Anolis sagrei: one gene and its partner. The protein of the gene in region 1 purifies or fractionates together with the protein of each later gene. This does not show direct contact. Links are inferred from orthologs where the notes say so. Each region holds a gene or a part of one and is shown on either strand. Other genes may lie near its edges.

Region 1 (16,264 bases):
GGCTAAAACCCAAAACCTCAATCCATGACTGATACCAAATGAGAGATTCCCTCCTGGGCACACAGAAGACTGGGTGACTTGGAGGGTGCTGAACATACTGTGCTGTGGCACCTTAAGAAATGGGGCCACAGTCCACGACATGTGAGTGTGGAGAAGAGCAAACCACAAACCGCCTATTACAATACAGTCTGAGCTCTGCCACATGCACAATGGAGGACCTCCTTACAGTGACACCAGAGGCACTCCAAGTGGCCAGCTTCTGGTCAAAGGATATTTAGTATCATGCCATGTTTTTAACTTTGTTTGCATTTTCAAATACATTACAACTGTACCCTCAATTAGCTTCTGACACAATAAAATAAATAGGTGATTCAACCACCTGTTTATAAGGCCCCTTCCACACTGCTATATAAACCAGATTTATTTTATTTTGTGTCAAAAGCATTGCATAAAATAGTTTATCTAAAAGTTATAAAATAAAGGGATCACAAGGTGTTAGATTGTTTTAGACTAAATTGCCTGATTTTACTACCCACAGGAATATTCTTGCTGTTGCTGGAGGAACATTTTACTTACTTCCTTTACTTGGGCGATCCCTCGTTGGCTGAGTAGGATAGTCTTCCAGGATCAGTATTCTTGTGGGTCTGTAAGTGGCTGTGGAGCCCTATTCTTGACCTGCATCTTCTTCCACAGTGAGGGCATTGGTTTCCAGGTGGAAGGCGGTCTCAGTTGGTGTTGGCTTGACGCGCCTTCCTCTTGGCACGTTTCTCTTTTTTGCCCTCCATTCCTGCCTCTTCAAATTCTGCAGCACTGCTGGTCACAGCTGACCTCCAGCTGAAGCACTCAGGAACATTTAGAGGAGTGGTGGTTATCATGAAACTTTCCCTTGATTTAAGTCTCCTGGGAGGAGGCTGATAGCCATGCAGTGGGTGGCTTTCACAGTGTTCAACCTTATTTCTCTTGCAAGTGGCAGCAACTTCTTGTCACACATCCGCGCCGGGGGGGGGGGGGGGGGCAATGCCAGCTAGTTTATAGTCTTATCAACAGGTGCAGGTTGCAAACATCCTGTGAGTGTTCTTCGTGTCTCATTCAGTGATATTCACCCACTTTGCATGGGCAGATTTATGCCAGACGGGGCAGGCATGCTGAGCAGTTGCGTCCAGCCCGAAAGCATTGCTTTACAACATAATTCAGATTCTCAAAGTGGATACTCCACATTATCCACTTTGAACCGGATTATATGAGTTTACACTACCATAAAATCCATTTCAAAGCAGATAATATGGATTTTATATGGCAGGGTAGAAGGGGCACAGGATTAGAGAAGTCTGGAAGGCACAGAAGGCGCTCTATTAAAAAGGGCATGGTGCCACTGAAGCACATCACCAACTTTTGTTCTTTCTTTCGGCCGAAAAAAGGAAGGGCTCATTGGGGAGTGGCATCTTCATCTTTGCCAACCGCCTTAATGCCGTAATGTGGCAAAAGAGATGAGATTGTGTTTCTCAGAAGGCGTGTTTGAGGTAAATTGTACTTTGCTCCTAAAAGCAGGGTTCAATGAAACCAAGGGAGAGAAAACACGAGCTTTAAGTAATGGCCAAATTGCACGGTCTCCAGTGTAATGGTCGGGAAGCAACAAAGGCGCCCCTTGAGGGAAGTTAGAGTCGCGCATGCGCAGGACTCTCTCAACTCAATACGGCCAGGTTGCAAAAAGTGCCGCCGGCTACAAGGTCAAGGAGAGTGGGCGGAGCTTGTGCGTTAGTGGGCGGGGCTTGTATGGTGCTATAAAAGGCAGGCCCGCGCTTGGCTGCTTGCATTTGCTGCGTGGTTCGTACAAGCGCTGTAGTGATGGCTGGTCTGTCTGTGCGTGGTTTGTCGGGGCTGATGGCGCGACCGCTGGGAGCGAAGGAGTCCGTGGACTTAGGCTCCTTCGCGGGGCAGGTGGTGCTGGTCTCCAACGTGGCCTCCCTCTGAGGCACCACCACCCGGGACTACACGCAGTTCTCGGAGCTCCAGCGGCGCTTCGGGCCCCGAGGGTTCGTCGTGCTCGCTTTCCCCTGCAACCAGTTCGGCCACCAGGTGAGTTCGGCTCTTCGAACAGTTGAATGAGTGGGAAGAGGCGGGCCGTGCGCCCCTCCTGGCGGAACCCAGTACTGCAGGGATACCCACGCTCTGGCGCTGCTTCTAACTGGCATGGCTCAAATGCCAAAGGCGCCTGGGAGTTGTGGTTTTGCAAGGTCTTTAGCCTTCTTTGCCAGAGAGGGCTGGTGCCAGGCATCCCTTACTGGAAAGCTGGGAAGCTCCTCCTTTTATATAATATCTGAAAGAGATGCCAAACCCCCTTTCTTTATATGGGCAGGCACAGCTTTGGGTGCAGTTACACCAGGCCTGGGCAAACTTGGGCCCTCCAGGTGTTTTGGACTTCAACTCCCACAATTCCTCACAGCCTCAGGCCCCTTCCTTTGCCCCCTCAGCCGCTTAAGGAAGGGGCCTGAGGCTGTGAGGAATTGTGGGAGTTGAAGTCCAAAACACCTGGAGGGCCCAAAGTTTGCCCATTCCGGATCTAGAGAGATGCATCCTGTCATTTTATTTTATTTTGCAGACAAATGCATAGCTAGTTGAATCACTCATTTGGAATTTACCAAGCACAAACAGCATGTTGATACAGGTGCCAGCATCCTTCAGCCAAAATTTTGAAATAAGCCACAATCCCTAGATAGTGACACCCTTGCTTTCAGCTGACTCAGTGCACACAAACTTTTCTCTCATGGACAAAATTAGATTTAAAATGATGCATAAATTACCGTTAGGCATATATGGAATATAATAAACTTTCTGATTAGATTTGGGTCCCAACACCAAAATGTACATAAGTATCAGCAAAAAAACATTTCTGGTCCCAAGCATTTCAGATAAGAGGTGCTCTGCCTGTAGCTGCTTTCTGGTTGCTCTTGATAGCGCTTTTCTGAACGTTACCCAACATACCATGAATTTCAACTGTCTCTTATTGCAGTTTTGAAAACATGATATTTCTAGCACTTTTGGTAAAAGTTACTCAGTTTCCTAGGTTCTCGCATCATTAGTTTGTCAAATGAGTTGAAGGGAAATCTGGCTATAATTCAGGTTCTAGAAACAGGATTGTTTTTGCGACTTTCCACACTTTCTCAAGCCATCCGCATGCTCTTCTTCCAGCTCTCTCAGGGCCCTTCCACATCTAACCCAGAACATCAAGGCCAAAAATCCCACAATATCTGCTTTGAACTGGGTTATCTAAGTCCACACTGCCATAGATTCCAGACTTGGAAAATCAAGCTTTTATATGTTCTAGCAGTGGGTTTATCTATCAAGGTGTCTTTGATGCTGAATAGGGATGGAGCTGGTGGTTGGGGTCCTTTTAGCAAACACAAAGAGGAATATATATATTTTTAAAAAGGGATAAACTCAGATGTCCACCCTCGGTTGTGGATACCTAGTTATTCTGGAAGGACAAAGCATGGCAGACTGTTTTAAGACCAGTTGCATAAAACCATCCAAATATAGTACATGTTATTCAACATTACCCACTGAAGTCCTTCCATGATGTGTGGGTCAGTAAGAAATGTTTCAATTTAGGTATGTTGTTTCTATTGATAGAAAAGGTGAGCCAAGCCCTTTTAATGCATTAGCTACTGCAAGATTTAAGGAAAAGGGAGTATTGCAGCCTCTTTAAAACTAACAGAACAATGTCAATATAAACAACCAATAATTATACTCCACTTCCACAGATGCTCTTAAATACAGATGCCAATCACATCCTCCACCCCCCCCCCCCCACAGCATAGGACCTAAGGTGGTTTATAGCAAATAGCAAAACCCTCTAGTACAAAACTTAAAAATTATTGGTACAAAGATTAGGCACTTAATTAAATTAAGATTGAGCTAAATATAATAAAAGTACAATGTGCCTCATTAAAGCTTCCCTTCTGTCACATGAGTTAAGAGCCAAAGACCTTCTTAAATAAAAAGGCCCTTGCTTGCTAGCAGAAGAAAACAACTGAACTGGAACCACGCTAACCACAAGTTTGGGTGGGAGGGGGTCACAACCTTGGAGCAGTTGCCAAGAAATCTCACTAAATGTATCTGTGATAGTGGTGAGACTGAGAAAAATCCACTTTAAACACATCATGCAGGGAAGGAAATGAAGTACCAGAATCCTGCATGCAACAACATGATTTAACAACTTGAAGCAGTTACATTTTGACTAGGCTGGAAAGCTGCAGAAGAAAAACTTGAGGTGAAATGTACCCTTTACTTTGGACAGGGTCAATTCACATGTTTTCCTTGGAAGGCTGTATGACCCCCTCAGTTGAAAGAGCTTGGATCAGATTATTATTGCATATACTCATGTATAGGTCAATGTCATGTATACGTTGAGGGCAGGTCTTGGGGCCAAAACTATGGATTTTGATATGACAGGTGGATAAGTTGAGGGTCATTCTGCAGAGAGAAGAAAGCACCAATGTAGCCTCAGTGGCCAGCCACCTCTGTTAAAAACAGCACCATGATGGAGAGAGCAGAGAGGGTTAGTAGCGCTTTAGGTTCTCCCAGAGCAGGCTAAGGTCCTTTAGAAGGAAGCTCAAGACTTGGCTGTGGGACCTTGCGTTTGACCATTGAATAGCGGCTTGTATGAAGAAGACATAAGCAGTTTTGAAGTGATAATGAATTCACCCGGACCCGGATTTTAATTGGCATGTTTTAACAACTGTTTAATGTTTTGTTTGAATGAATTTGTTGATTGTTTTTATCATTATGATGGCACCGAATGTTGTTTGTTGTGAGGCTGCCCCGAGTCCCCCCTCAGGGGTGAGAAGGGCAGGGTACAAGTATAAGAAATAAATAAATAAGGTGTTACCTTTTGCCACTCTGCTCAGAGCAGGAATTGTTCTTTTTCTGAGAGAGTTAAAGTAGAGCACTCATATTAACCTGTAGATAGGCCTGCCCAGGTTTGGGTCTGAGTTTTTGTCAAATTCTGTATTTATTATTCAGTATATAGCTTACTCCTAGGAAAGGATTCATCTAGTATGCTTTCTGCAGCATCTCCCCAATATACTTATGATCAATTGGGCAATATGTTATGGGTTTTTCCTGTATTGGAGGATGCAGATAACTGTTCCCTAAATGTAGTTCCGTTTTCAAACTGTAGTTTCTGTTAGAAACCGAAAACTTCAAGTTAGTGCTGTGGCAATAAAATCTTATGAAATCTTTTTTATGCTGCAATAGGTTACATTTTTTAAAAATTTGAAAATTCCATAATTTCAATGGCAAGTAGAAAAGCTGGCATATCAGTCCATTGGAATGTATATAAGAATATATTTTGGCTATATTTCATCTAACTACTAGTGACAAAGTTTGGAGGGAAGCAAAGGATTAAATGCTATTTGCTGAGCTGTGGATTTAAGATTGTGTCCCCTCTATCCTTTAACAGGAGAATACCACCAATGAGGAGATCCTGAACTCACTGAAGTATGTCCGCCCAGGCAATGGGTATGAGCCTAACTTCATTGTGTTTGAGAAGTGTGAGGTCAATGGGGAAAATGCTCACCCACTCTTCAAATTCCTGAAAGAAGAATTGCCATACCCACATGATGACGCTGTGTCTCTGATGACACACCCACAGAACATCATCTGGTCTCCTGTGTGCCGCAATGACATCGCATGGAATTTTGAAAAATTCCTCATTGGTCCGGATGGGAAACCATTCAAACGCTACAGCAGGCGCTTTGAAACCATCAAGATCCAGGATGATATTGAAAAGCTGCTTCAACAAGTTCCTTAGAGCAAACCATATTATATCTTGCTGAAATGTCTTTCCACCTCTTTGCTTTCAGCTAGAATTACCCTAGGGTTGAATGTATTAATTCCCATGTTACAGTACATTTATTGTATGTCCCATATTAAACACAGCAATCTCATTGTGTGAAGGGAAATTATGTATGTGAATTACAACAGCAAAGCTTTTCTGAAATTGAGCAGTTTGTTTTTATGCTATAATGTGAATTGTACCTTTAGCTATTTCCTCTCACCTATAAGGCATAAGGTGACACTTATGTCTTGTGGTTTCTAAATGTGCTATAAAGTTAATAGGTACCCATTACAGCATAGTATCTCTGCTAAGTCTATCAATCTTTTGTTCATCCCTAGTCCGCATACACATTAAACATTCCAGATATGTGTTTCAAATATTACAGTTTAGTATCAACACAATGTGCTGTAGCATGTATGGCTTAAAATCATACTTTGTGAAGCAGCAATACTCCTGAGTACCAGACTTTGTCCTTTTCTGCACTGCTTATTTTTCTATGACTTGTCAGCTGTTTTCTTGATATTAATTTTCTATTCTCTATCAAAATTTTATTCATGATGGTGCTTTTTCTAAAGCCTTGAAAAGCACCTGATCTTCTAAAAGTTTGTGTGAAGCTATAGTAAATTAAATTGGGAAAACAGTTGACTGCAGCAGTTTGTGAAAATCATTGTCAAACAATAAAATGCTTGAAAACCATAGCTATAACTGAGCTATTTGTATTGCAACACAAATTCACTTATTTGTTCCAGTTTTTGTTCAGATAATGCATGATGAGGACACTTTACTACTATATTTACAATGATCTCAGAGTCTGCAGTCTACATTATTATTCACTTCTGTCTTGATCAAATTGGTTAGTTAAGTTTTTTAAAAAACAACAAAAACACCCCATCTTGAATATCTTACTACCTTTTCCAAGATGCCCTAAGAGCTAGAGTCTTTCACCTCCAACAGCACAATATATTGAACAGTTAAAATGAAATAGCCCTCCTTGAAGTTAGAATATAAAAGCCAAACTAGATCAGAGGAGTGGGTAGCATATACAGAGTAACATTGTCATCTGCTTCAATTTCCATACTCAACTGAAACAAATTTGCCTAAAGCCCTCCCTTTCAGTTTTGGAAACCCAAAGCTGAAAGGACAGAGCAGAGAGCTTTCCTGACTGTACAACACATTACATAGATGGGGAAATCTCTGTAGGAAGACTCACCTAGCATATATCCTCTGAGCTTTTCAGAACTAAATACATTTGCCTTTTTATATATTTGTAAAACTGGTGACACTTCTGGAGTTGAAATTTGTGGAGATTTATTCAGGTGTTATGCCTCTTTTATATGCCATTGTTTTAGTATAAGCTGCTAGTTATTAAATACCCCAAACCAGTAAATTCTAAACCTAGCTTGCTTATTACTGTGACATGATGACAGGTGAGCAATGAGAGCCAGAAGCTATGGCTTAAATATAAGCTTAATACAAATGGAAGGAGAGCTGGTATCTCACATAGAGTTCTACTATATTTATGGGGAAAAATAAGAGGTCTCTTACACACAGCTGAATAAAATTCCACATTTTCTGCTTTGAACTGGAATATATGGCAATATGGACTCAGATAACTCAATTCAAAGGAGACATTGTGGGATTTTCTGCCTTGATATTCTGGGTTATATAACTGTGGAAGGGGCCTAAGAAACAGGATACTTCAACCAGTCATAAAACTAACAATAGTGCCAAACAGACTGTTCTCACAACAATTCACTTACTAGCTATTGCCTGACTCTTAGTTGCAAGACTGCTGAACAAAAGGTCAGTGGTTCAAATCTGGGGAGAAGGGTGGGCTCCTGTCTATCAGCTCCAGCTTCCTGTGTGGGGACATGAGAGAAGTCTCCCACAGGATGGTAAAACATCTGGGCATCCCCTGGGCAACATCCTTGCAGACGGCCAATTCTCTCACACCAGAAGCAACTTCCAGTTTCTCAACCTCTGAGGATGCCTGCCATAGACGCAGGCGAAGCATCAGGAGACAATGCTTCTGGAAAATGGCCAGCAACCCAGTTTCACATCCCAGTTACATGATTCTGATCACAGTCCAGTTTAAGAGACTCTTTTAAAAAGTTTTTCAAGGGTGCATCTACACCAGGGGTCCTCAAACTAAGGCCCAGAGGCCGGATGTGGCCCTCCAAGGTCATTTACCCGGCCCTTGCTCAGGATCAACCTAAGTCTGAAACTACTTGAAAGGACACAACAACAATCGTATCTCATCAGCCAAAACTAGGCCCACACTTCCCATTGAAATACTAATAAGTTTATATTTGTTAAAATTGTTCTTCATCTTAATTATTGTATTGTTTTAAGTGTCTTTTGCACTACAGATAAGATATGTGCACTGTGCATATGAATTTATGGGTTTTTTTTTCAAATTATAATCCGGCCCTCCAACAGTTTGAGGGACTGTGACCCAGCCCTCTGTTTAAAAAGTTTGAGGACTCCTGATCTACACTGTCGCTCAGGTATGGACAAATCTGGGTCCTCCAGATGTTTTGGACTCCAACTCCCACCATTCCTTACAGCCTCAGGTCCCTTCCTTTTTCCCATTCAGTCGCTTAAGCAAAAGGAAGGAGGCTTGAGGCTGTTAGGAATGGTGGGAGTTGGAGTCCAAAACCCCTGAAGGGAGGGCCCAAGTTTGCCCAGGCCTGCTGTAGAATAAATGCAGTTTGGCACCACTTTAATTGCCATGGCTCCATGCTGTGGAATCAAGGGAGGTGCTGTTCTACAAGGTCTTCAGCCTCCTCAGGCAAATTGTGTGGGTGCCTCACCAAACTACAGCTCCCAGGATTCCAGCGCATGAAGCCATGTCAGTGAAAGAGCTGCCAAACCGCACCCACTCTTCGGTGCAGATGGACCCGGGCGGGCACCCTCGTCGTTGCCCTCTTCGCGCAAGGCCAGGCTGAATCCGGGTCTCTCGGGCGGCCTGCCGTTCTCATCCGCCAGGGCCTGGGCGTCGAGGTCGCGCATGCGCAGTGCCGCCCTTGGGCGTGCGACGGGCGAAGAAGGCGAGCCGCAGTTGAGAAGAGAGGAGAGGAGAACTGGCCGGCCGGCAGCAGCAGCGCGCGCAACCGTCATGGCGGCCGCCGAAGCAGGGTTCGAGGGCGGCGGCGGTGGCGGCGGCGGCGGCGGCGGAGGAGCCACGGCCAGCCCGAGGCCGGACGCGGGGACGCAGCGGGCTGAGCTCACGCCGCTTTTGGGGACGCCGCTGTGCCCGGGGGAGTCCTGGTGAGGAGGAGGAGGGCTGGCTCGGGGCTAGGCCGCGCGCCTCCCCCCCTTCCCCGCGGGGGCCGTTGGCCTCCGAATGGCCACGCGCGCGGCCGGAGGGAGGGGGCTGGGCAGGAGGGAGCAGTGCGCGCGGGACGGCGGCCCTGAAGGACCTTTCTTCTTTCCTCCTGCCTCCCTCCCTCCCTAGCCGGCTGCCCCGAAGGGGTGCTGCTGAGTCACCGCCCCGTCGACCCTTAGCAATGCCTTCCCGTCCTTCCTTCCTTCCCTCTCTCCTGAATCTTGGGCCGCCCCACGCACACTCACCTCGGTGCATTTTTCGTTTCATAATTGTAGGTACCTGATTGACAGCCGGTGGTTCAAGCAGTGGAAGAAGTACGTGGGCTTTGACAGCTGGGACCTGTATAATGTGGGGGAGCCTAATCTCTACCCAGGACCCATTGACAACTCAGGGCTTTTTGCAGGTAAACATGGTTGGGGGGAAATAAAAAGGGTTGGGGAGGGTAGGTTGTGTGGGTTTGGCAAGGGCGAATATATCTGGAGGCTTTATGCCCTCATATTCCAGCCTCTTCTAGGCGTGTTTTCCTAATTCTGAAGTAATATTTGGACCTCCCTTGTAATAAACTCTTGGTTGTGGAAGTTATAATTGGTTTCTAGCAAGTGTTGCAATCCAAACTGCTTTTGAATTCGAGAGGAGAGATTCCACCCTTAAATTAGTGTCTCAACAATTGCTTCTCACACCCTTACTGCCATTTGTTTGCTCACCTTCCATTCCTTCACTTAGTGCTGATTGTGAGGGTTTTTTTTTCTTACATAAAAACAGAAAGAGAACTAAAGAAGACATATGCTGGTGGCAGATATGATCACAGCCCCTTCATAAGTTGGTATATTTAGTGGGCCGTTGAACTTCAGATGTTTAGACATATGTGTTTTGCAATCTTTGGATGTCTCAATCAGTTCCTTCTTAGAGCTTTAGTTCTCAATCAGTTTTCTAACATTGATGCAAGGATCAGGTTTGTGATATGCTGAACTTGGTAAAGTGACGCACTTAAAATCTAAATATCTTTTCATTTGCTGCCCCCCTTAGTATTCTGAAGATCCTTGGGCTTGGATTTCAGTGTTGCTCCTCCTTTCAGGGAACTTCCAGGGAAAAGTGAAAGGGAAACTAGAGTCAGCTGGAAATAATATTTGAACAGGCCTTCAATAGGTTTAAGATGACACATTTTACAGAAAGTTGTGACTGTCATGAATTTGGCAGAAAGCAGTACTAAATTACTTGTTTTCTTTAGAAACTCTCTATATCAAGGGTGGGGGAAGTTTGCCCTGAGGACCAATCTGTGTACGTGGAGAGGGGGCAGTCATCTGACTCTTCTTTCTCCTAGAAATCATGCTTTTCTTCTATGTGCAAAAAGAAGTAGAAACTGGCTTCATAAATTGGTAATACCAAGGCTTTATTTCACATTCCATTGAGATCAGTGACAACAGCAGGATTCTCCCTGGCCTGCAGCTTGTTTTCCCAGTTGGAATGGCAAACTGCCTGTGGGAGAATCACTCCAAAACAAGTAGCAGAACTTAGGAGAGGAACATTACTTGTAGGCTGAGTCTAGTGGGTCAGTTTGGTCCTATAGGCTGGAAGATCATGTCCATTGCTGCATACCATTATGAAAAAAATAGTATGTGTCCTTTAGTTTTATAAATTCTTATTTGCTTTATCTTCCAGTTCTGTGCGGTACAATTTTAGGAAGCCTTCAATATCACACAGTTTGAAAATGTATTTGAATAGATTAGATGTTTTATTTTTTGAACACAAGGTAATGGTTTCTGAGTAACACTCCACATGGGCATGACTATTTGAATTGCCTGTGAAGATTTTCAAAGGTATCTGTTTGGCTGCTGCTTTGAAGGATGGCTGTGTGTTGAATTGTTTGCTCATTTTTCTGAGTGTAACTTATTCCATTTCCTTTTAGATTCAGAAACTCAGACTTTGAAAGAGCACCTTATTGATGAATTGGATTATGTGTTGGTTCCTACTGAAGCCTGGAATAAGTTAGTAAATTGGTATGGCTGTATAGAGGGACAGAAGCCAATTGTGAGGAAAGTAAGTGTTTGTGATCCTAGTATGATTTCTGGTGCAATCTGTCTGTATGTGGTTCAGAAATAAATCCCATTGAGTTCTGTTTTCAAAAATTCCTGTCTAACTGTGTGCATTTCTCTCTGATCAAGAAACAGACATGTCTGCATTGACTTTCCTTCACTTTTCTGACTTTTATATAGGACTAGAAGAGTCTAGTCTTGGGAGTTGTTGCTCAGTTGTAATTCTAACCAGCTGTGTTCTGCCTTTCCCACCTGTACATATCTATCACTGTCCTGGCAGCTTCCTACACTTTTCTTGTAATGTTATTGCCATTCAATTGGTCACATATTGGTCACAACTCCTCCACCTGTCCTCCTGAAAATTTTCAGGGATTAAAAAAAATGCTGGAGCATCTTAACTTTGTAAGTGTTTGTGCAACTTGGCCACAAAACACAAGGATTCTGTGGCACCTTTTCTAAAAATACAAACTTCTTTAATTTAAATCCCTTGTATCTGTCTGAAATTTGCAAAGTGTTGTACATTTTTCAGGGTTCCACTCTTTATAATGTCCTGGGAAGATATCTGAGAGCAAGAAAAAGAGGCAGCTGTCCCTCCCCAGTAGATATGTATGGCTAAAGACTACTGGGAACTGAACATGCAGTTTTATAGAATCTTTGCTTAGATAAATAAAATGACTGACAATGTGTTTATAAATGAGTGGATTTGAGCAAGAATAATTTGCTACAGATTTTATATCCATTAAAAATGTGATAGAAGTGAAAATGAAGGGCTGGTTTCATAAAATATTTTGCTGTCTAGATGTTTGTACCTGTCTCACAAAAAGTTTTTTCTTCTTAGGTTGTGGAGTATGGATTGTTTGTGAAGCACTGTAAAGTAGAGGTTTATCTTTTGGAGTTGAAGCTATGTCAAAACAACGACTCTACTAATCTTGTAAGCTCTTATTTCAGCAAAGCAGATACTGTGGGTGAGTCATTCTTAATGCCACAAGTCCTCTTTCAACACTTCTACATGCCTTATAATAATTTTTTAGAAAACTATACAGAGCAGGAATAGTTTGCTATTTTCTGGGGGTGCCTTGTAGTATTCTTTACATTCTGTTGAAAATAGCTAATTTCCTGTAAAATGGTAAATGCTGTTTGTCTGATATACATATATCATTGCAAAGTAATGTGCTGCTATATTTCAGTTCTTATCTTTTGACCTTAGCTACTGCTAGTGGCTATTTTGAACTTCAGATGTTCTTCTTGCATTAAAAAAATTCTGCTTGGAGAGTAATATAGATTGAGTATCTTTTATCCAAAATGCCTGGGACCAGATTTTGATATATCTGAGTAATGGCGGGAATCCAAGTTTAGTGCTTGATGCAAATCCACACCTCCACCATTATACAGATAGTTTGCATATTATCACTCCAATCTTTGGTCTCATTCATTTGCTACTTGTGCTGTGTATGGGGTGTGTGACTGGACTGATGATAAAAGTGAAGTGACATTTGGGGAACTGGGAGTACAGTTCTGTACAAGAGATCTCTGAGCAGCCTACCAGCTGCCCACTTCCACCTTTCAAAAAACAGGCAGGAGTGCAGCAACTACCATCTGCAAGAAAGCAGGACACTGATATAAGAAAGTTTTAGATTTTGGAACATTATGGGTTTTAGGATTAGGAAAAAACTAATAGGTTTATTTTGAAGGGAAAAAGAGATTTCTTATGTTTAGAATGAGAATATACAAATAGTTTATGCCGTGAAATTTAAATTCAAAACTTTCTAAATTTAAATATATGTTCCAATCTTCAATTTATGATCCCAGGACCCAGGATTATTAGATTAATATAAAACCATTCTACATATGTTAGACCAGTAATAATAGTGCAAAGTAATTCAGATGAATGTGAACTTTTAAAATGTATTTTGTGCCAGCAAGAAAGTGTGGGAAAGGATTGCATTTTTAATAACCCATTATTAGCAGCTGCTAAAAATACATGGTGTGAGTTTTTTTTTTCTCTTCAGCTACCATTGAAAAAGAAATGAGGAAACAGTTTAATATTCCTGATGGAAAAGAAATTAGATTATGGAGCAGATATATGAGTAATACCTATGAACAACTAAGCAAACTTGACAGCACTATACAAGATGCAGGTCTCTATCAGGGACAGGTAAGAAATCTAAATACTTTTATTGTTGTATCCTAAAATGTTTTGGTGGTGATGATGGAATTTTTGGTATCTTGTATCAATTCTAGTACTACCCTTGTAAACTATCAGTATTGATTGCACTTTTTAAAAAAAGTGATTTGAATGCAGATTTAGTTAGACCCTTAAAATTATTGGTGTTAACATTTGTCACTGAAATCAGTTTGGCAGTGACTCCTCTATCTCTATTGAGCTACTTGTAGGCGGTTAGAAACTGTTTTCGCTTAGTTCTTTCTTAAGAAAGCATTAATTTGTTTGTTTTTTGTACATTCTCCTAAAAATCACAACACTGTTATTTTTTATTTTTCATTTCTAGGTAGTATTAATAGAGATAAAGAATGAAGATGGCAGTTGGCCAAGACAATCTTCACAGACAAAGTAAACATTTCTTCTTTTCACTTTCGATACAATTGCTCAGTGAAGAATTGGCTCTGGGAGATATCATTATTCAACCTGGCATTGTTCTGACTTATTTTTCATTTTTTTCCCAACTGTGTTTTCATTGTATTTTGTTTTGTTTCGGTGTTTCGGTGTTTAATTATTTAAGACTCTTAAGTCTGAGGAATATAATTTGGGCAAAAAACTAGTACACAAAGTGGGCTCCCTTTTAAGTTTTATTTTATGTAGCCTTAAATAATTGAATTATACTTCTACATTACAGGAACAATATTTTTTCTTTAGATGCAGTGAAATGCTCAGCAATTTCTTCAAAGGAAAGGGCTGTTTATTCTAAACACTACTTCATTCTTAACTGAGCCTGTTCCCAAGTCATTTTCAACCACTTGAGCTATATATTATAACTAGGTGAATCAACTTTGTTTGGTTGTGCATTTTTATAAAAATCACTGTTAGATTCTTCAAAATGTCGTAAAAGAGTTAGATAATTAATTTTAAGGTAGTGTCTAAAGCTGCTTCATTTTGTTGTCGTTGTCTTTTTCTTCTTTGCTGCTCCTGCTGTAAACACAGTGTGGCAATGTTGGGATTGCTTCAGAGTTTAAAAGAAATTAATCAAGCTATTCCTTAACTTTTGGGAGTTTTTTGCAGTGTTATTTGTTTCTGAACTTGCTACAAACTAACATTCTGCCTTGGTTACTGTACTGGGAGAAAGGCAGGCTATAAATTAAACCAATAACTGTTAAAAGACACTAACTTAAAAGCTCTGGCGCAGTGTCCAGCTGACAAGTGTCTTTTTTCCTTTAGAATGGTGGTGTACATTGAAAAGACTGGTGTTATGAACCTCTACTTGGGGGACTTCATTGTTAAACTGTACCTAGGAATCAATTGCAAATTATCGGAAATAATACTTGCTATCTTTTATGCCAGTTTAAAAATGCACGTGAGCCAGTAGATGCATGTCACTACTGAGAAGAGAAACTATACTTTTGGGAGAAGCAAGAGGTTTAAATTAATGAGTTTCAGTACCTGGTACAAGCATAGGGTTTCTAAGCTGTGATTCAGCAATCTTTTAGTTGGAAGTGGCATTTTACAGAGTCCTTTATCATATCTGAAACTGGCTACTGTATTCAAGGCTTTGGCAATTAAATGTGGTTGTTATTTTCACTGTAGAAAAATTTCACACAGAATGAATGAAACTGAATCCCTAGTACTTGTCCTGTATAATTGAAAATGCTCCACTTTATCTGGTACCTCAGTCTTTCTGTCTTACTCTGTTGGAAATCCAGAAATACCCAATAGGTTAAATTACTATTCTGGAAAAATAACAAACACACACAAAGAATCTGGAAAGTATGACAGCTTCTTCTTTTTTTCCCAGATCAAGCACTGCAACAAGCAGAAATCTAGCTACCTCTTCAAAATCATCAGCAGGTTCTTGCTCCTCAGTAGTTGCCTCTTCAACCATTACAAATGGTGATAGCAATAACTCCTATGGTTTGAACTCCAGTCATGGCAAAGGGTAAGAGGAATGCGTCGTTTATGTACATTCCTTTCTCTGAATGCTTTTATACATTCTATTCTTTATTAAATAAGGTCCTGCCCTGGAGGGAGTCGTGTCTGTCCTGTTTGCAAGCTTGCTATGTGTATATCTATTGTATATACAAACAGGCATTTTAATTGTTCTAACTTGTATTTATTTGAGTTGGTAACATTTCTTTTCAGACGTGCCAGTTATTTTTATTTTGTAACAGCCTGTTGTTATACAGTAGCTGATGGAAAAACACTGCAGTCTAGTATTCTTCAAGGCTAAAATAACATGTAGCTTTATGTAATGGGAATGGGACTTTGAAGAGTCGCATCTCCTGCTGCCTGAATTTTTTGCTTTTAAAAATCCCTGTAGAAGCACAGCTGAAAGAAGGAGGGAGTATTTCACCATGATTTTGGACCTCAGTGGACCTTTGGGGCATGGAGCAGCATTTTTAGTAAAACAGTTGTTTTACTAAACATGTGCAAATGACAGATCAATAGGTTTGATCTGACAGCAGTAGTTTCCTTACACTGGTTCCAAGGCATTTTGAACTAGTCTGGATAACTGGTTAGTATTAGACTTAGGCCAGGGTCAAATTCCACCAAGCCAAGTTCTACCATACCTCACTATCTTGGCCCAGGTGCCTGGCAACTTCAGATTCCACAGTTGTTGGATAACAATGGTGTTAGTATTCATATTCAGTACAAGTAAGAAGGGAGCAATAGATATATGTGGAGTATTGGATGGGGAAACAACCACTGGAGCTGATTCATAAATTGGAAGCTAATCACTGGAGAAAGGATTGTTATCTGCTGACAAAATAATGAGGTATAGATTGCATGTAACAATTACTATGCTTCATCAGAGCATCTTCTATCAGTCAAATTGATTCCAACTCTCCCTTTAGCTCCCTATAACTCCTCCTGGATTGAATCAGCAGGTTTAGAGA
Region 2 (16,333 bases), on another chromosome or scaffold:
GTTGTGTTTTAAATAATAATAACTATCCCTTACTGGGATCCCAGATCCCAGTAAAGTGGCCTTCTGCAGCTGGCAGATGGTGATTTTGTCAGTGCTGATTGTGTTTAAGTGCAGGCCAAGGTCTTTAGGCACTGCACCCAGTGTGCCGATCACCACTGGGACCCCTTGACTGGCTTGTGCCAGAGTCTTTGCAATTTGATCGTTAAATCCTCATGTCATGTCAGCTTTTCCAGTTGTTTCTCTGCAATCCTGCTTTCACCTGGGATTGCGACATCGACGATCCATACTTTGTTTTTTAACACGATAGTGAGGTCAGGAGTATTATGCTCCAAAACTCTGTCTGTATGAATCCAGAAGTCCCAGAATAGCTTGACGTGTTCATTCTCTGTAACTTTTTCCAGCTTGTGATCCCAACAGTTCTTTGTCGCAGGCAGATTGTATTTGTGGCACAAGTTCCAATGGATCATCTGAGCAACGGTGTTGTGCCTCTGCTTGTAGTCTGTCTGCACAATCTTCTTGTTTTTATTATTATTATTATTATTATTATTATTATTATTATTATTTCTTACCTGCCTTTCCTTGTGGCTCAAGTTGGAAGTTACTGGAAGACACAGAACATTACGATTTAAAATGAGTGCAGGATGATTAAGATGATTGCGATGATGATTTTATTCATTTATTTCCCATCTTTTCCTCAATAATGGCACTCGAAAGTGACTGGCGACTGTGTTGTCCCCCTTTTTTCCCAGGAAACTTTGGAAAGACCCTTCTGTTTTCAACCCAGGGCGCTTTCTGGCTGCAAACGGGTCCAGAATAAACCGAACCGAGAGCGAGAAGATCCTGACCTTCGGCTTAGGGAGAAGGAGGTGCCTCGGGGAAAACATCGGCAGATGCGAGATCTTTCTCTTCTTAACCACTTTGGTCCAGAAGCTGGAGTTCAGCATACACCCCGGGAAAGAGGTGGATTTCACTCCTCAGTATGGACTCAGCATGAAGTTCAAGAGGTGTGAGCACTTCCAGATCAAGACCCGTTTCTAAAAGTAGACATTGGCAGACATCGGGCTGGGAACGGGGAGGCCATCATTTACCTTGGAGTGAACGGGTTGCCTGGGGCAAGCTGAGGCATTCAGTGCAAAGACTAACACGACATCACATCATTTGCAGTTGCAATACAAAGTGGAACTCTGATGTGGTGAACCATTGCAGATACACATAAAGTTACTTTGAATAATTGGAAGCAGAGGTTGGGAAGCCTCTTGTTGCTTATACGGACAAGACTTTGAGCTCAAGTTTGTCTAGAACGCATGGATTGAGGATTTCAACTTTGGCGTATGGGTTTCGCCTTAAGATGGTTGATAAGCAAGCACCTAGGTGCCCAAAACATTTGTTGAAGCTTCAACGGTGCCTTATGGATATAGATGAGGTGTCCTAGCAGCCAACATTATTCAGCAATTGATCATGAGATTGGTGGTGGGCCGAAGCTTGCCCATGCCTGAATTAACCCCTTCGAAGAGACACGGACACAGATACATTATAATAACACAATGTATGAGGATAAAACATCTCTCATGAAAACCTTCCATCACACACACACACACACACACACACCTATATAAATAAAAAGGTAATGTTTGTTTGTGGGATTAACATAACTCTAAAACCACTGGACGAATTGACACCAAATTTGGACACAAGACACCTATCAACCAACGAGTGACCACTACTCATAAAACACCGAAAACACAACAGAAGAGACTGAAAAAGCAAAAAAAACCCAAAAAAAATATTACAACGCATGCGCAAAACCATATACACACACACACACACACACATGCACAGACACACATATATACACACAAAAAACACATATACACAGGCTGGGCCACAGCAACACGTGGCAAGGGATGGCTAGTGTGTGTGTGTGTGTGTGTATATATATATATATAATGTTCGTTTGTGGGATTAACATAACTCAAAAACTACTGGGCGAATTGACATCAAATTTGGACACAATACATCTATTAGGCCAGCGAGTGACCATCCCTTATAAAAACATTGAAAAACACAACAGAAGAGACTTAAAAAGCCAAAAATAAAAATACATTACGATGCATGCGCAAAACCACATATATACACACAGAAAACACTTATACACAGACTGGGCCACAGCAACGAGTGGCAGGGGACAGCTAGTGGTAAATAAAATGAGGAAATGGGAGGTTTAAATAAAATTAATCAAATATTCATTTAACTTTTTCCAACGGGGCTCAGGTTCTGCTTTCTTTTTTATAGAAAGAGAAGAACGTGGCTTCATTTTATGTTATCCTTTGTCTCATTTTCACTATGCTTTGATGTGCTTTTAAACTCTTTTAATCCAATGTTCAGTTTTTACAAAAGAGATAATTTAAAAAATGATTTTTTGGTGTTATCATTAGCTTGTATATATAAATGTATTGTTCGTTTGTGGGGTTAACGAACTAAAAAACCTCTTGACGAATTGACACCAAATTTGGACACAATACACCGATCAGGCCAACAAGTGACCATCACTCATACAAACACTGAAAAACACAGCAAAAGAAACTTCAAAAGCCAAAAAACAAAACTTACAACGCATGCGCAAAACCACACACACACACATCCACACACACATATATATGCAAACAGACTTATACACATATACACACATATTCCCACCGACCCCTGCTTACAGGAATAATGGGCTCTGTTATATGGCCCAATGATATCTGGAGTGCTTTATATAGTTTCGACGCTCTTTCCCTTTTGAAATCCTTCCTCAAATGCTATTGTCATTGCCAAGAATTTTGATGCAATTGTTTTGATATATCTCTCCTATTGCTGTCTGTCTATAGATATACACAGGTCTTGCTTATACGGGCCGGCGAAATGTTGGATAAGCAGAAAAGTTGGATAATAAGGAGGGATTAAGGAAAAGCCTATTGAACGTCAAATTACGTTATGATTAGGTTGTTGTAGGTTTTTTCGGACTATATGGCCATGGTCTGGAGGCATTCTCTCCTGACGTTTCACCTGCATCTATGGCAAGCATCCTCAGAGGTACTGAGGTGTTTTGGAACTAGGAAAAGGGGTTTATATATCTGTGGAATGACCAAGGTGGGACAAAGGACCCTTGCCTGCTGGAGCTAGGTGTGAATGTTTCAACTGATCACCTTGATTAGCATATAATTGCCTGACAGTGCCTAGAGCAAACTTTCAGGCCATTATATGCTAATCAAGGTGATGCAGGCGAAACATCAGGAGGGAGTGCCTCCAGACCATGGCCATATAGCCCAAAAAAACCTACAACAACCCAGTGATTCCGGCCATGAAAGCCTTCGACAATACGTTATGATTACATTATAATTTTACAAACTGAGCACCAAAACATCCTGGTTTACAACAAATCAACAGAAAAAGCAGTTCAGTACATGGCAACATTATGTAGAAATTGTGGTATTTACCAATTTAGTACCAAAACACACAATAATGTCCCACCCTGGACATTATTCCGGGTGGAAGGTAGACTGCGTTGGATAAGACAAAACGTTGGATGAGCAAAGGTTGGATAAGCAAGACACTTCTATGTATGTGTGTGTATGTATGTGTATATATATATATAATCAGCCTCCATGAAGCCAGAGTTATATGTAAGGCATTATGAATATTGTTGAGATATTAATAAAAAGTATTAAGTCCCCCTAGGGGTGAGAAAAGCGGTATATAAATGCTGTAAATAAAATAAATAAAAATTGCTTTCTATCTTACTGAGGACTCATGTTTACATTTGTGATAAAGCATGTCTCGTTAAGAGCCACATCCACATTCAATATTAACATCAAGTCAATACAGAGTTTATCCGATGGTATAGTATTAGGTCTATTTTATAAGCAACTCTCAAGCAACCAGAAACAATATTTGTCCAGTCTCCACCACAGATGCCGGTTAACTGAGAGCCTGCTGTATTTCTATGGCTGCAGCAGTCCATGATGCTTTAAAAATAAAAGGACAATATCACCATAATATATAATATAAATCAAAATATATACATAATATAAAATAAACATAAAATAAAGCATATAATATAAACATAAAATAAAACATAATAATATATAATATATAATATATTTATTTATTTATTTATTTACTATATTTATATGCCCAAAGGGGTGAGAAGGGCAGCACATAAATGTCATAAATAAATAAATAAATAAATATTTATATTATATATTATTATGGTTTATTTTATGTTTATATTACAATATATATAATGTTTTATTTTATGTTTATATTATATAAAATATAAATAAATAAAGATGTATAGTAGAGCAGCTTACAAGATACATATACATACAATATATTAGCATAGCACAGTATCAATATTATATATTACTACATTGTACTATACCATTATATTGTAATATTATTAGTAATTTTACATGTAATATAAAATATAATAATGTATTATTATTATATTGTATTGTATTGTATAATAAATAGTATATGTATATACAATATATTATATTATTAGTAAAGCACTTTAATATAATTATAATTAATAATTATTAGTATTATATTGTATTACATTATAATATTATAAATATTATATGTATACACAATATATTATATATTATTATTAATAATGCACTTTAATATAATTATAATTAGTAATTATTAGTATTATATTGTATTACATTATCATATTATAAAATATGTATATACAATATATTACATTATTAGTAAAGCACTTTAATATAATTATAATTAGTAATTATTAGTATTATATTGTATTACATTATATTATAAAATTATATGTATATACAATATATTACATTATTAGTAAAGCACTTTAATATAATTATAATTAGTAATTATTAGTATTATATTGTATTACATTATATTATAAATATTATATGCATATCCAGTATATTATATTATTAGTAAAGCACTTTAATATAATTATAATTAATAATTATTAATATTATATTGTATTACATTATAATATTATAAACATTATATGTATATACAATATATTACATTATTAGTAAAGCACTTTAATATAATTATAATATATAATATAACTAATATTAGTACTGTATTGTATTACATTATAATATTATAAATATTATATATATATATATATATATAATATTTATAATATTATAATGTAATACAATACAGTACTAATATTAGTTATATTATATATTATAATTATATTAAAGTGCTTTACTAATAATGTAATATATTGTATATACATATAATGTTTATAATATTATAATGTAATACAATATAATATTAATAATTATTAATTATAATTATATTAAAGTGCTTTAATATTATATATATATATATATATATCTCCAGCAAAGGATCACCGCCTTGTCGGGGCGCTGGAGCTTGAGCACCTCAATGATGTCATGAGTGAAACCGTGAAGGGCCACCCAAGACGGGACGGTCGTGGCAGAGAGGTCAGACCAAGCGTGATCCCTGGGGAAGGCAACGGCAAACCACCCCAGTATCCTTGCCAAGAAAACTAAATGGACCAGTACAACCAGAGATATGTCGGTATGCCATTGGAAGATGGGACTCCCAGGTCGGAAGATGGCCAAAATGCTACTGGGGAGGAGCAGAGGATAAGTTCAAGTAGCCCCAGATGTGATGACGCAGCTAGCTCAAAGCCGAAAGGAAGGCTAGCGGCCGACGGTACTGGAGGTGAACGACGAATCCGATGCTCTAAAGATCAACACACCATAGGAACCTGGAATGTAAGATCTATGAGCCAGGGCAAATTGGATGTTGTTATTGGTGAGATGTCAAGACTAAAGATAGACATTCTGGGGGTCAGCGAACTGAAATGGACTGGAATGGGCCACTTCACATCAGATGACCACCAGATCTACTACTGCGGACAAGAGGAACATCGAAGAAATGGAGTAGCCTTCATAATTAATAAGAAATTCGCTAAAGCGGTGCTTGGATACAACCCAAAAAATGACAGAATGATCTCAATTCGAGTGCAAGGAAAGCCTTTCAACATCACAGTGATCCAAATATACGCCCCAACCACAGCTGCTGAAGAAGCAGAAGTAGATCAGTTCTATGAGGATCTGCAGGAACTACTGGATAATACACCAAAAAGAGACATTATTTTCATTACAGGAGACTGGAATGCCAAGGTGGGAAGTCAAATGACAACAGGGATCACAGGCAAGCATGGTCTGGGAGAACAAAATGAAGCGGGACGCAGGTTGATAGAATTTTGCCAGGAAAACTCGCTGTGTATAACAAATACTCTCTTCCAACAACCTAAAAGACGGCTTTATACATGGACCTCACCAGATGGTCAACACCGAAATCAGATTGACTACATCCTTTGCAGTCAAAGGTGGCGGACATCCATCCAGTCGGTGAAAACAAGACCTGGGGCTGACTGTAGCTCAGATCACGAACTTCTTATTGCCCAATTTAGAATAAAACTAAAGAGTTCAGGGAAAATACACAGACCAGTTAGATATGATCTCACTAACATTCCTAGCGAATATACAGTGGAAGTGAAGAACAGATTTGAAGGACTAGATTTAGTAAACAGAGTCCCAGAAGAACTATGGACAGAAGTCCGCAACATTGTTCAGGAGGCAGCAACAAAGTACGTTCCAAAGAAAAAGAAAACCAAGAAGGCAAAATGGTTGTCTGCTGAGACACTGGAAGTAGCCCAAGAAAGGAGGAAAGCAAAAGGAAACAGTGAAAAGGGGAGATATGCCCAGTTAAATGCGCAATTCCAGAGGTTAGCCAGAAGAGATAAGGAACTATTTTTAAATAAGCAGTGCATGGAAGTGGAAGAAGACAACAGAATAGGAAGGACAAGAGACCTCTTCCAGAAAATTAGAAACATTGGAGGTAAATTTCAGGCAAAAATTGGTATGATAAGAAACAAAGATGGCAGGGACCTAACAGAAGCTGAAGAGATCAAGAGAAGGTGGCGAGACTATACAGAAGATCTGTATAGGAAGGATAACAATATCGAGGATAGCTTTGACGGTGTGGTGAATGAATTAGAACCAGACATCCTGAGGAGTGAGGTTGAATGGGCCTTAAGAAGCATTGCTAACAACAAGGCAGCAGGAGACGACGGGATCCCAGCTGAACTGTTTAAAATCTTAAAAGATGATGCTGTCAAGGTGATGCATGCCATTTGCCAGCAAATATGGAAAACACAAGAATGGCCATCAGACTGGAAAAAATCAACTTATATCCCCATACCAAAAAAGGGAAATGCGAAAGACTGCTCAAACTTCCGTACAGTGGCCCTTATTTCTCATGCCAGTAAGGTAATGCTCAAGATCCTGCAAGGAAGACTCCAGCAATACATGGAGCGAGAGTTGCCAGATGTTCAAGCTGGGTTTAGAAAAGGCAGAGGAACCAGAGACCAGATTGCCAATATCCGCTGGATAATGGAGAAAGGCAGGGAGTTTCAGAAAAACATCTACTTCTGCTTCATTGACTATTCTAAAGCCTTTGACTGTGTGGATCATAATAAATTGTGGCAAGTTCTTAGTGGGATGGGCATACCAAGCCACCTTGTCTCTCTCCTGAGGAATCTGTACAAGGACCAAGTAGCAACAGTCAGAACTGACCACGGAACAACAGACTGGTTCAAGATTGGGAAAGGCGTACGGCAAGGCTGCATCCTCTCACCCAACCTTTTTAACTTGTATGCAGAACACATCATGCGATGTGCGGGGCTGGATGAATGCAAAGCTGGGGTGAAAATTGCTGGAAGAAACATTAACAACCTCAGATATGCAGATGACACCACTCTGATGGCCGAAAGCGAGGAGGAGCTGAGGAGCCTTCTAATCAAGGTGAAAGAAGAAAGCGCAAAAGCCGGGTTGCAGCTAAACGTCAAAAAAACCAAGATTATGGCAACAAGAATGATTGACAACTGGAAAATAGAGGGAGAAACCGTGGAGGCCGTGACAGACTTTGTATTTCTAGGTGCAAAGATTACTGCAGATGCAGACTGTAGCCAGGAAATCAGAAGACGCTTACTTCTTGGGAGGAGAGCAATGTTCAGTCTCGATAAAATAGTGAAGAGTAGAGACATCAGACTGGCAACAAAGATCCGCCTAGTCAAAGCCATGGTATTCCCTGTAGTAACCTACGGATGTGAGAGCTGGACCTTAGGGAAGGCTGAGCGAAGGAAGATCGATGCTTTTGAGCTGTGGTGTTGGAGGAAAGTGCTGAGAGTCCCTTGGACTGCGAGAAGATCCAACCAGTCCATCCTCCAGGAAATCAAGCCCGACTGCTCACTGGAGGGAAAGATACTAGAGACAAAGTTGAAGTACTTTGGCCACATCATGAGGAGACAGGAAAGCCTAGAGAAGACAATGATGCTGGGGAAAGTGGAAGGCAAAAGGAAGAGGGGCCGACCAAGGGCAAGATGGATGGATGGCATCCTTGAAGTGACTGGACTGACCTTGAGGGAGCTGGGGGTGGTAACGGCCGACAGGGAGATCTGGCGTAGGCTGGTCCATGAGGTCACGAAGAGTCGGAGACGACTGAACGAATGAACAACAACAACAACAATATATATATATACACACACACAATCTATTATATTGTATTATTAGTAAAGCACTATAATATAATTATAATTAGTAATTAATAACTGGTAATCATGATCGATCATGATGATTGGCCCTCGACTCCGGAACTTTTCAAGGTGTTTCAGATCAATTCAGGAGTTGCTGTGGTTGTAGAGAGACTATTACTCCTCTAACACCAAGAAGGAAGCGTTGAACTCCAACCCCCATGATGCCACACCATGGGTCGCAACGGCTGGGGCTGATGGGAGTTGTAGTCCAATAGTCAGCCGCTTCCAGGGGCCGAGCAGGCTTTCTGCGCATGCGTGCTGCGAGTGGCACCTTCGCCTCTGGAGAAGGAAAGGCGTGCCGTGTCCTTTCTGCGCCTGCGTGAGCGCTGAGAGAAGGAGAAGCGGAAGTGACGCAGAAGAGCGGGGCAATGGCTTGTCGCTTCCGGTGTGAAGACGCTGTGAGGAAAAGCGGAGGGAGAAGCGAGTCAGTGAGTGAGTGAGCCGCTTTTGGGCCTGCTCGGCGCCTTATCCCCGGCCTAGAGTAGGGAGCAGGCCGAGGGAGGGCTTGGGGGCCTTCTCTTCCCTTCTGGGAGCCTTTGGGGCGGGGAGGAGGCCTCCCTTCCCCCGGGAAGGACCGCCCGGGGTCTCCTCGGCCTCGCCCCAGCCGGACCAGGCCTTTCGTTGTGAAAGGAAGGAGATTGAGTGACCTCCCCTGCCTCCCCCATTTAGCCAAAAGTTTGCAAACTTTTGGCTAAATGGGGGAGGCAATATATATTATTTTATTTATTTATTTCTCGTGTCAGAGCAGCCAGTCTATTATATTACATTTCTAACAGAACAAAGCAAACAAACAGAAAAATACACAACTTGTGAGTTTGGTAGTTGGTTAAATGTCCTTGGACCAGTATCTGGTCACTTGGAGTGCTTCTGGTGTTGCCACAAGAAGGTCCTCCATTGTGCATGTGGCAGGGCTCAGGTTGCATTGCAGCAGGTGGTCAGTGGTTTGCTCCTCTCTGCACTCGCATGTCGAGGATTCCACTTTGTAGCCCCATTTCTTAAGGTTGGCTCTGCATCTCGTGGTGCCAGAGCGCGGTCTGTTCAATGCCTTCCAAGTCGCCCAGTCTTCTGTGTGCCCGGGGGGGGGGGGGGGGTCTCTCATTTGGTATCAGCAATTGGTTGAAGTGCTGGGTTTGAGCCTGCCACTTTTGGACTCTCGATTGCTGAGGTGTTCCAGCGAGTGTCTCTGTAGATCTAAGAAAACTATGTCTAGATTTAAGTCGTTGGCGTGCTGGCTGATACCCAAACAAGGGATGAGCTGGAGATGTCTCTGCCTTGGTCCTTTCACTATTGGCTGCTACTTCCCGGCAGATGTCAGGTGGTGCAATACCGGCTAAGCAGTGCAATTTCTCCAGGGGTGTGGGGCGCAGACACCCCTTGATAATGTGGCATGTCTCATTAAGAGCCACATCCACTGTTTTAGCGTGGTGAGATGTGTTCCACACTGGGTATGCATACTCAGCAGCAGAGTAGCACAGCGCAAGACCAGCATGCAAGCAAGCAATATATAATATAATAATGTAATATTACAATCTTATAAATGTATTATATATAATAATAATAATAATAATAATAATAATGAACTACGGACAATGCAAACTTTTGGCTAAATGGGGGAGGCAATATATAATATAATAATGTAATATTACAATCTTATAAATGTATTATATATATATATATATATAATGAACTACGAACAATGCAAACTTTTGGCTAAATGGGAGAGGCAATATATAATATAATAAAGTAATATTACAATCTTATAAATGTATTTTATATTTATATATATATATAATGAACTACGGACAATGCAAACTTTTGGCTAAATGGGGGAGGCAATATATAATATAATAATGTAATATTACAATCTTATAAATGTATTATATATATATATATAAGACATTTATAAGAATGTAATATTACATTATTATATTATATATTTATAATGATATAAAATATTATTATATTAGTATTATATATTTATAATAATATAATATATTATTATATTGTTGTTGTTCATTCGTTCAGTCGTCTCCGACTCTTCGTGACCTCACGGACAAGCCCACGCCAGAGCTCCCTGTCGGCTGTCACCACCCCCAGCTCCTTCAAGGTCAGTCCAGTCTCTTCAAGGATGCCATCCATCCATCTTGCCCTTGGTCGGCCCCTCTTTCTTTTTCCTTCCACTTTCCCCAGCATCATTGTCTTCTCTAGGCTTTGCTGTCTCCTCATGATGTGGCCAAAGTACTTCAGCTTTGTCTCTAGTATCCTTCCCTCCAATGAGCAGTCTGGCTTTATTTCCTGGAGGATGGACTAGTTGGATCTTCTCGCAGTCCAAGGCACTCTCAGAACTTTCCTCCAACACCACAGTTCAAAAGCATCAATCTTCCTTCGCTCAGCCTTCCCTAAGGTCCAGCTCTCACATCCATAGGTTACTACAGGGAATACCATGGCTTTGACTAGGCGGATCTTTGTTGCCAGTCTGATGTCTCTACTCTTTACTATTTTATCGAGACTGGACATTGCTCTCCTCCCAAGAAGTAAGCGTCTTCTGATTTCCTGGCCACAGTCTGCATCTGCAGTCATCTTTGCACCTAGAAATACAAAGTCTGTCACGGCCTCCACATTTTCTCCCTCTATTTTCCAGTTGTCAATCATTCTTGTTGCCATGATCTTGGTTTTTTTTACGTTTAGCTGCAACCCAGCTTTTGCGCTTTCTTCTTTCACCTTGATTAGAAGGCTCCTCAGCTCCTCATCGCTTTCGGCCATCAGAGTGGTGTCATCTGCATATCTGAGGTTGTTAATGTTTCTTCCAGCAATTTTCACTCCAGCTTTGCATTCATCAAGCCCCGCACACCGCATGATATTATATTAGTATTATATATTTATAATAATTATAATATTATTATAAGGCTCTGGCATCAACCTGTCCAGGTGGTCCCAGTAGTCATTGGCTCATTGGGTGCCGTGCCCAAAGATCTCAGCCGGCATTTGGAAACAATAAACATTGCCAAAATCATGATCTGTCGACTGCTACTTACTTAGGTGATCCCTCGTAGTCTGAGGATGATGGTCCTCCAAGATCGGTGTCCTGGCGTTGTGTCCATAGGTGACTGTGGAGACTATTCTTGACCTGCATCTTCTCCCGCAGTGAGGGCATTGGTTTCCAGGTGGAAGGCAGTCCCGGTCGGGGTTGGCTTGACATGACTTCCTCTTGGCACGTTTCCCTCCTTCGCCCTCCATTCGTGCCTCTTCAGATTCTCCAGCACTGCTGGTCACATCTGACCTCCAGCTGAACCGCTCAAGGGCCAGGGCTTCCCAGTTCTCAGTGTCTATGCCAGGTTGGCTTTGAGCCCGTATTTCAATCTCTTTTCCTGCCCGCCAGCATTCCGTTTTCCGTTCTTGAGTTCGGAGTAGAGCAACTGCTTTGGGAGACGGTGGTCAGGCATCCGGACAACGTGGCCGGTCCAGCGGAGTTGATGGTGGAGGAGCATTGCTTCAGTGCTGGTGGTCTTGGCTTCATCCAGCAGGCTGACATTTATCCGCTTGTCTTCCCATGAGATTTGTAGGATTTTCCGGAGGCAGCACTGATGGAATCGTTCCAGGAGTTGCATGTGACGTCTGTAGACAGTCCACGTTTCGCAGGCAGATAGCAGGGTTGGGAGGAGAATAGCTTTGTAAACAAGCACCTTGGTATCCCTACGGATGTCCCAGTCCTCAAACACTCTCTGCTTCATTTGGAAGAATGCTGCACTCTCAGAGCTCAGGCGGTGTTGTATTTCATTCTCAATGTTGATGTTTGTAGACAGTCCACGTCTCGCAGGCGTACAGCAGGGTTGGGAGGACAATGGCTTTATAAACAAGCCCCTTGGTCTACAGATGTCCCGGTCCTCAAACACTCTCTGCTTCATTCGGAAAAACCGCTGCACTCGCAGAGCTCAGGCGGTGTTGTATTTCAGTCTCAATGTTGATGTTTGTAGACAGTCCACATCTTGCAGGCATATAGCAGGGTTGGGAAGACAATGGCTTTATAAACAAGCCCCTTGGTCTACAGATGTCCCGGTCCTCAAACACTCTCTGCTTCATTCGGAAAAACTGCTGCACTCTCTGAGCTCAGGCGGTGTTGTATTGACTTTTGTGGAGAGGTGACTGCCAAGGAAGCAGAAATGGTCCACATTTTCTAATTATATTAATATTATATATTAATATATAAACATTATATATTTATAATAATTATAATATTATTATAAGGCTCTGGCATAAACCAGTCCAGGTGGTCCCAGTGATAATAATGGGCACACTGGGTGCCATGCCAAAATATCTCAGCCGGCATTTGGAAGCAATAAACATTGACAAAATCACGATCTGTCAACTGCAAAAGGCCGTCTGACTTGGATCTGCGCGCATCATTCGAAAATACATCACACAGTCCTAGACACTTGGGAAGGGTTCGACTTGTGATTTTTTGTGATACAAAATCCAGCATAGAGATCTTTTTTGCTGTGACATACTGTGCTTTTGTGTCAGTAAAGTAATAATAATAATAGTCATTAGTGCAAACATTAGTTCCTCCCGGCTGTTAGGAATGGAGAGAGCTGAAGTCCTAAACACCCGGAGGGAGGGCCCAAGTTTGCCCAGGCCTGCATTAGTGTGTCTATGGAGGCCAGGCATAGCCATTAATCCAAAGGTTGTATTGCCATTATTATTATAGCATATAATATTATAACATAATAACTATAATAAACCCCTGAACATGAGCAAGAACTTCCTGACTGTGAGAGCTATTCAGCAGTGGAACTCCCTGCCCCGGAGTGTGGTGGAGGCTCCTTCTTTGGAAGAGTTAAAACAGAGGCTGGGTGGCCATCTGTCAGGGGTGCTTTGAATGCAATTTTCCTGCTTCTTGGCAGAATGGGGTTGGACTTGATGGTCCACGAGGTCTCTTCCAACCCTATGATTCTACTATTATTATTATTTAAACCTGGAATTTAAAAGGAAAAATCTGTTGGTGAAAGCCTCACTCATTTAGCCCAAAAGTTTTATTGTCATTATTATAATTATTAATGTTGTTGTGGTTATTATTATCATTTAAACCTGGCATTGAAAAGGGAAAATGGGTTGTTGATAGTGTCCCCCATTGAGCCCAAAGGTTTTATTGCCATCATCATCATCATTATTTAAACCTGGCATTGAAAAAGAAAAATGGGTTGGTGGTAGCGTCCCCCATTGAGCCCAAAGGTTTTATTGCCATTATTATTATTATTATTATTATTGTTATTATTTAAACCTGGCATTTAAAAGGACAGTGGGTTGGTGATAGTGTCCCCTATTTATCCCAAAGGTGGTGGTGGTGGTTGTTATTATTATTATTATTTAAACCTGAGATTTAAAAGGAAAAATGGGTCGATTATAGCCTTATCCATTTATCCCATGCCTTTCTAATATTATTATTTTCATTATTATTTCCTAATAATCATACTGTGTTTTTCCAATTTTACTGGGGTCCTACACTCCTAACCCAAGCAAATGTGGAGGATGGTCTGTAGAGTGCTGTGGGGCTATCACAATACATGAAGTTTTTTAGTGTCCCATTCCATTGACAGCATTTTTTTCTTACAGTGATCAAGGAAGCTATGGCTGCAGATTGGCTTGGAAGTGTTGTCTCCATCAACTGCGGAGAAAGCCTGGGCGTCTATCAAGGAAGAGTGTCTGCTGTGGATCAAGTCAGCCAAACCATCTCCTTAACACGGCCTTTCCATAATGGAGTGAAGTGCTTGGTACCCGAAGTCACCTTCAGGTAAATGCTCCTTCTGCCTCCTTCCTTAAGCCTTTGACAGGGAAACTTCTTCTAGTGCAGCATTTTTCTGCATGAAGCAGAGAGTGTTTGAGGATCGTGATGTTCGTAGGGATACCAAGGTTTTTGTCCTCTCAACCCTGTTATACACCTGCGAAACATGGGCCATCTACAGGCGTCACACTTAACTTCTGGAACGATTCCATCAGCGTTTCCTCCAAAAAATCCTGCAAATCTCTTGGGAAGACAGACAGACAAACGTCAGCATGCTGGAAGAAGCAAAGACTATGAGCATAGAAGCGATGATCTTCCGCCATCAACTCTGCTGAACTGGCTCCATTGTCCAAATGCCCTGTCATTGTCTCCCAAAGCATTAGCTACTTTGAGAACTGTTTGTGTGTAATGATTGCCACAATGGTAAACCCATATTTATGAGAATGTTTTGACTTCTGCCTTTGGTTTGGTTTTATATTTGCTTGCTGCATAACTGAAGTGTACAGTTGGTGAGGACAAGAGAGAGGGTCTTAATGTATAACTACTAAAATAAAGACTGAAAATAATGCATAACTACTAAAATAATGTATAAATATTAAAATAAATATAGCATCCCTCATCATCATCTCAAGATCCTGCAAGGTAGACTCCAGCAAGACATGGAGAGAGAGTTGCCAGATGGACAAGCTGGGTTTAGAAAAGGCAGAGGAACTAGAGGCCCAATTACCAATATCCGGATGCTGGATAATGGAGAAAGGCAGGGAGTGTCAGAAAAACATCTATTTCTGTTTTATTGACTATTCTAAAGCCTTTGACTGTGTGGATCATCATAAATTGTAGCATGTTCTTGGTGGTATGGGCATCCCAAATCACCTTGTCTCTCTCCTGAGGAATCTGTATAAAGGACCAAGTAGCAACAGTCAGAACTGACCACGGAACAACATACGGGTTCAAGATTGGGAAAGGCGCACGGCAGGGCTGTCTACTCTTACCCAACCTATTCAACTTGTATGCAGAACACAGCATGCGATGTGAGGGGCTTGACGAATGCAAGGCTGGGGTAAAAATGGCTGGAAGAAACATTAACAACCTTAGATATGCAGATGACACCACTTTGATGACCGAAAGCAAGGAGCTGAGGAGCCTTCTATCCAAGGTGAAAGAAGAAAGCTCAAAAGTTGGGTTGCAGCTAAACATCAGATGATGGCAACAAGAATGATTGACAACTGGGAAATAGAGGGAAAAGGTGGAGGCCGTGACAGACTTTGTATTTTTAGGTGCAAAGATGACTGCAGACACAGACTGAGGCCAGGAAATCAGGAGATGCTTCCTTCTTGGGAGGAGAGCAATGGCCAATCTCAATAAAATAGTGAAGAGTAGAGCCATCACACTGGCAACAAAGATTCACATAGTTAAAGCAATGGTCTTCCCCATAGTCACCTACAGATGTGAGAGCTGGACCAGAAGGAAGGCTGAGCGAAGGAAGAGAGATGCTTTTGAACTGTGGTGTTGGAGGAAAATTCTGAGAGTGCCTTCGACCGCCAGAAGATCCAACCAGTCCATACGTTAAGAAATAAAGCCTGACTGCTCATTGGAGGGAAGGATAGTAGAGGCCAAGATGAAGTACTTTGGCCATATCATGAGGAGAAAGGAAAGCTTAGAGAAGACAGTGATGCTGGGGGAAATGGAAGGAAAAAGGAAGAGGGGCCGACCAAGGGCAAGATGGATGGATGGTATCCTTGAAGTGACTATCCTTGACCTTGAAGGAGCTTGGGGTGGTGACGGCTGACAGGGAGCTCTGGCATGGAATGGTCCATGAGGTCACGAAGAGTCAGAAATGACTGAACGAACGAACAACAACAATAGCATCCCTATTTTGTGAA

The links.
Region 2: the proteins of USP4 (region 1) and EDC3 purify together in Homo sapiens (co-immunoprecipitation; 3 studies listed by BioGRID and IntAct, with this or other methods). This does not show direct contact. The link is inferred for Anolis sagrei from reciprocal best matches to the Homo sapiens genes USP4 and EDC3.

The regions. Positions count from the first base shown.
Region 1 is NC_090022.1:75,209,685-75,225,948, forward strand, and holds the start of USP4 (ubiquitin carboxyl-terminal hydrolase 4), read left to right. Parts: upstream 1-8,753; 5' UTR 8,754-8,849; coding exon 8,850-9,109; intron 9,110-9,442; coding exon 9,443-9,570; intron 9,571-11,073; coding exon 11,074-11,204; intron 11,205-12,038; coding exon 12,039-12,165; intron 12,166-13,209; coding exon 13,210-13,355; intron 13,356-13,707; coding exon 13,708-13,769; intron 13,770-15,165; coding exon 15,166-15,306; intron 15,307-16,264.
Region 2 is NC_090029.1:21,433,061-21,449,393, forward strand, and holds the start of EDC3 (enhancer of mRNA-decapping protein 3), read left to right. Parts: upstream 1-9,001; 5' UTR 9,002-9,039; coding exon 9,040-9,103; intron 9,104-14,281; coding exon 14,282-14,459; intron 14,460-16,333. Other genes in the region: cytochrome P450 1A5-like, read left to right, coding at 750-1,038. UniProt on the Homo sapiens protein: Binds single-stranded RNA. Involved in the process of mRNA degradation and in the positive regulation of mRNA decapping. May play a role in spermiogenesis and oogenesis.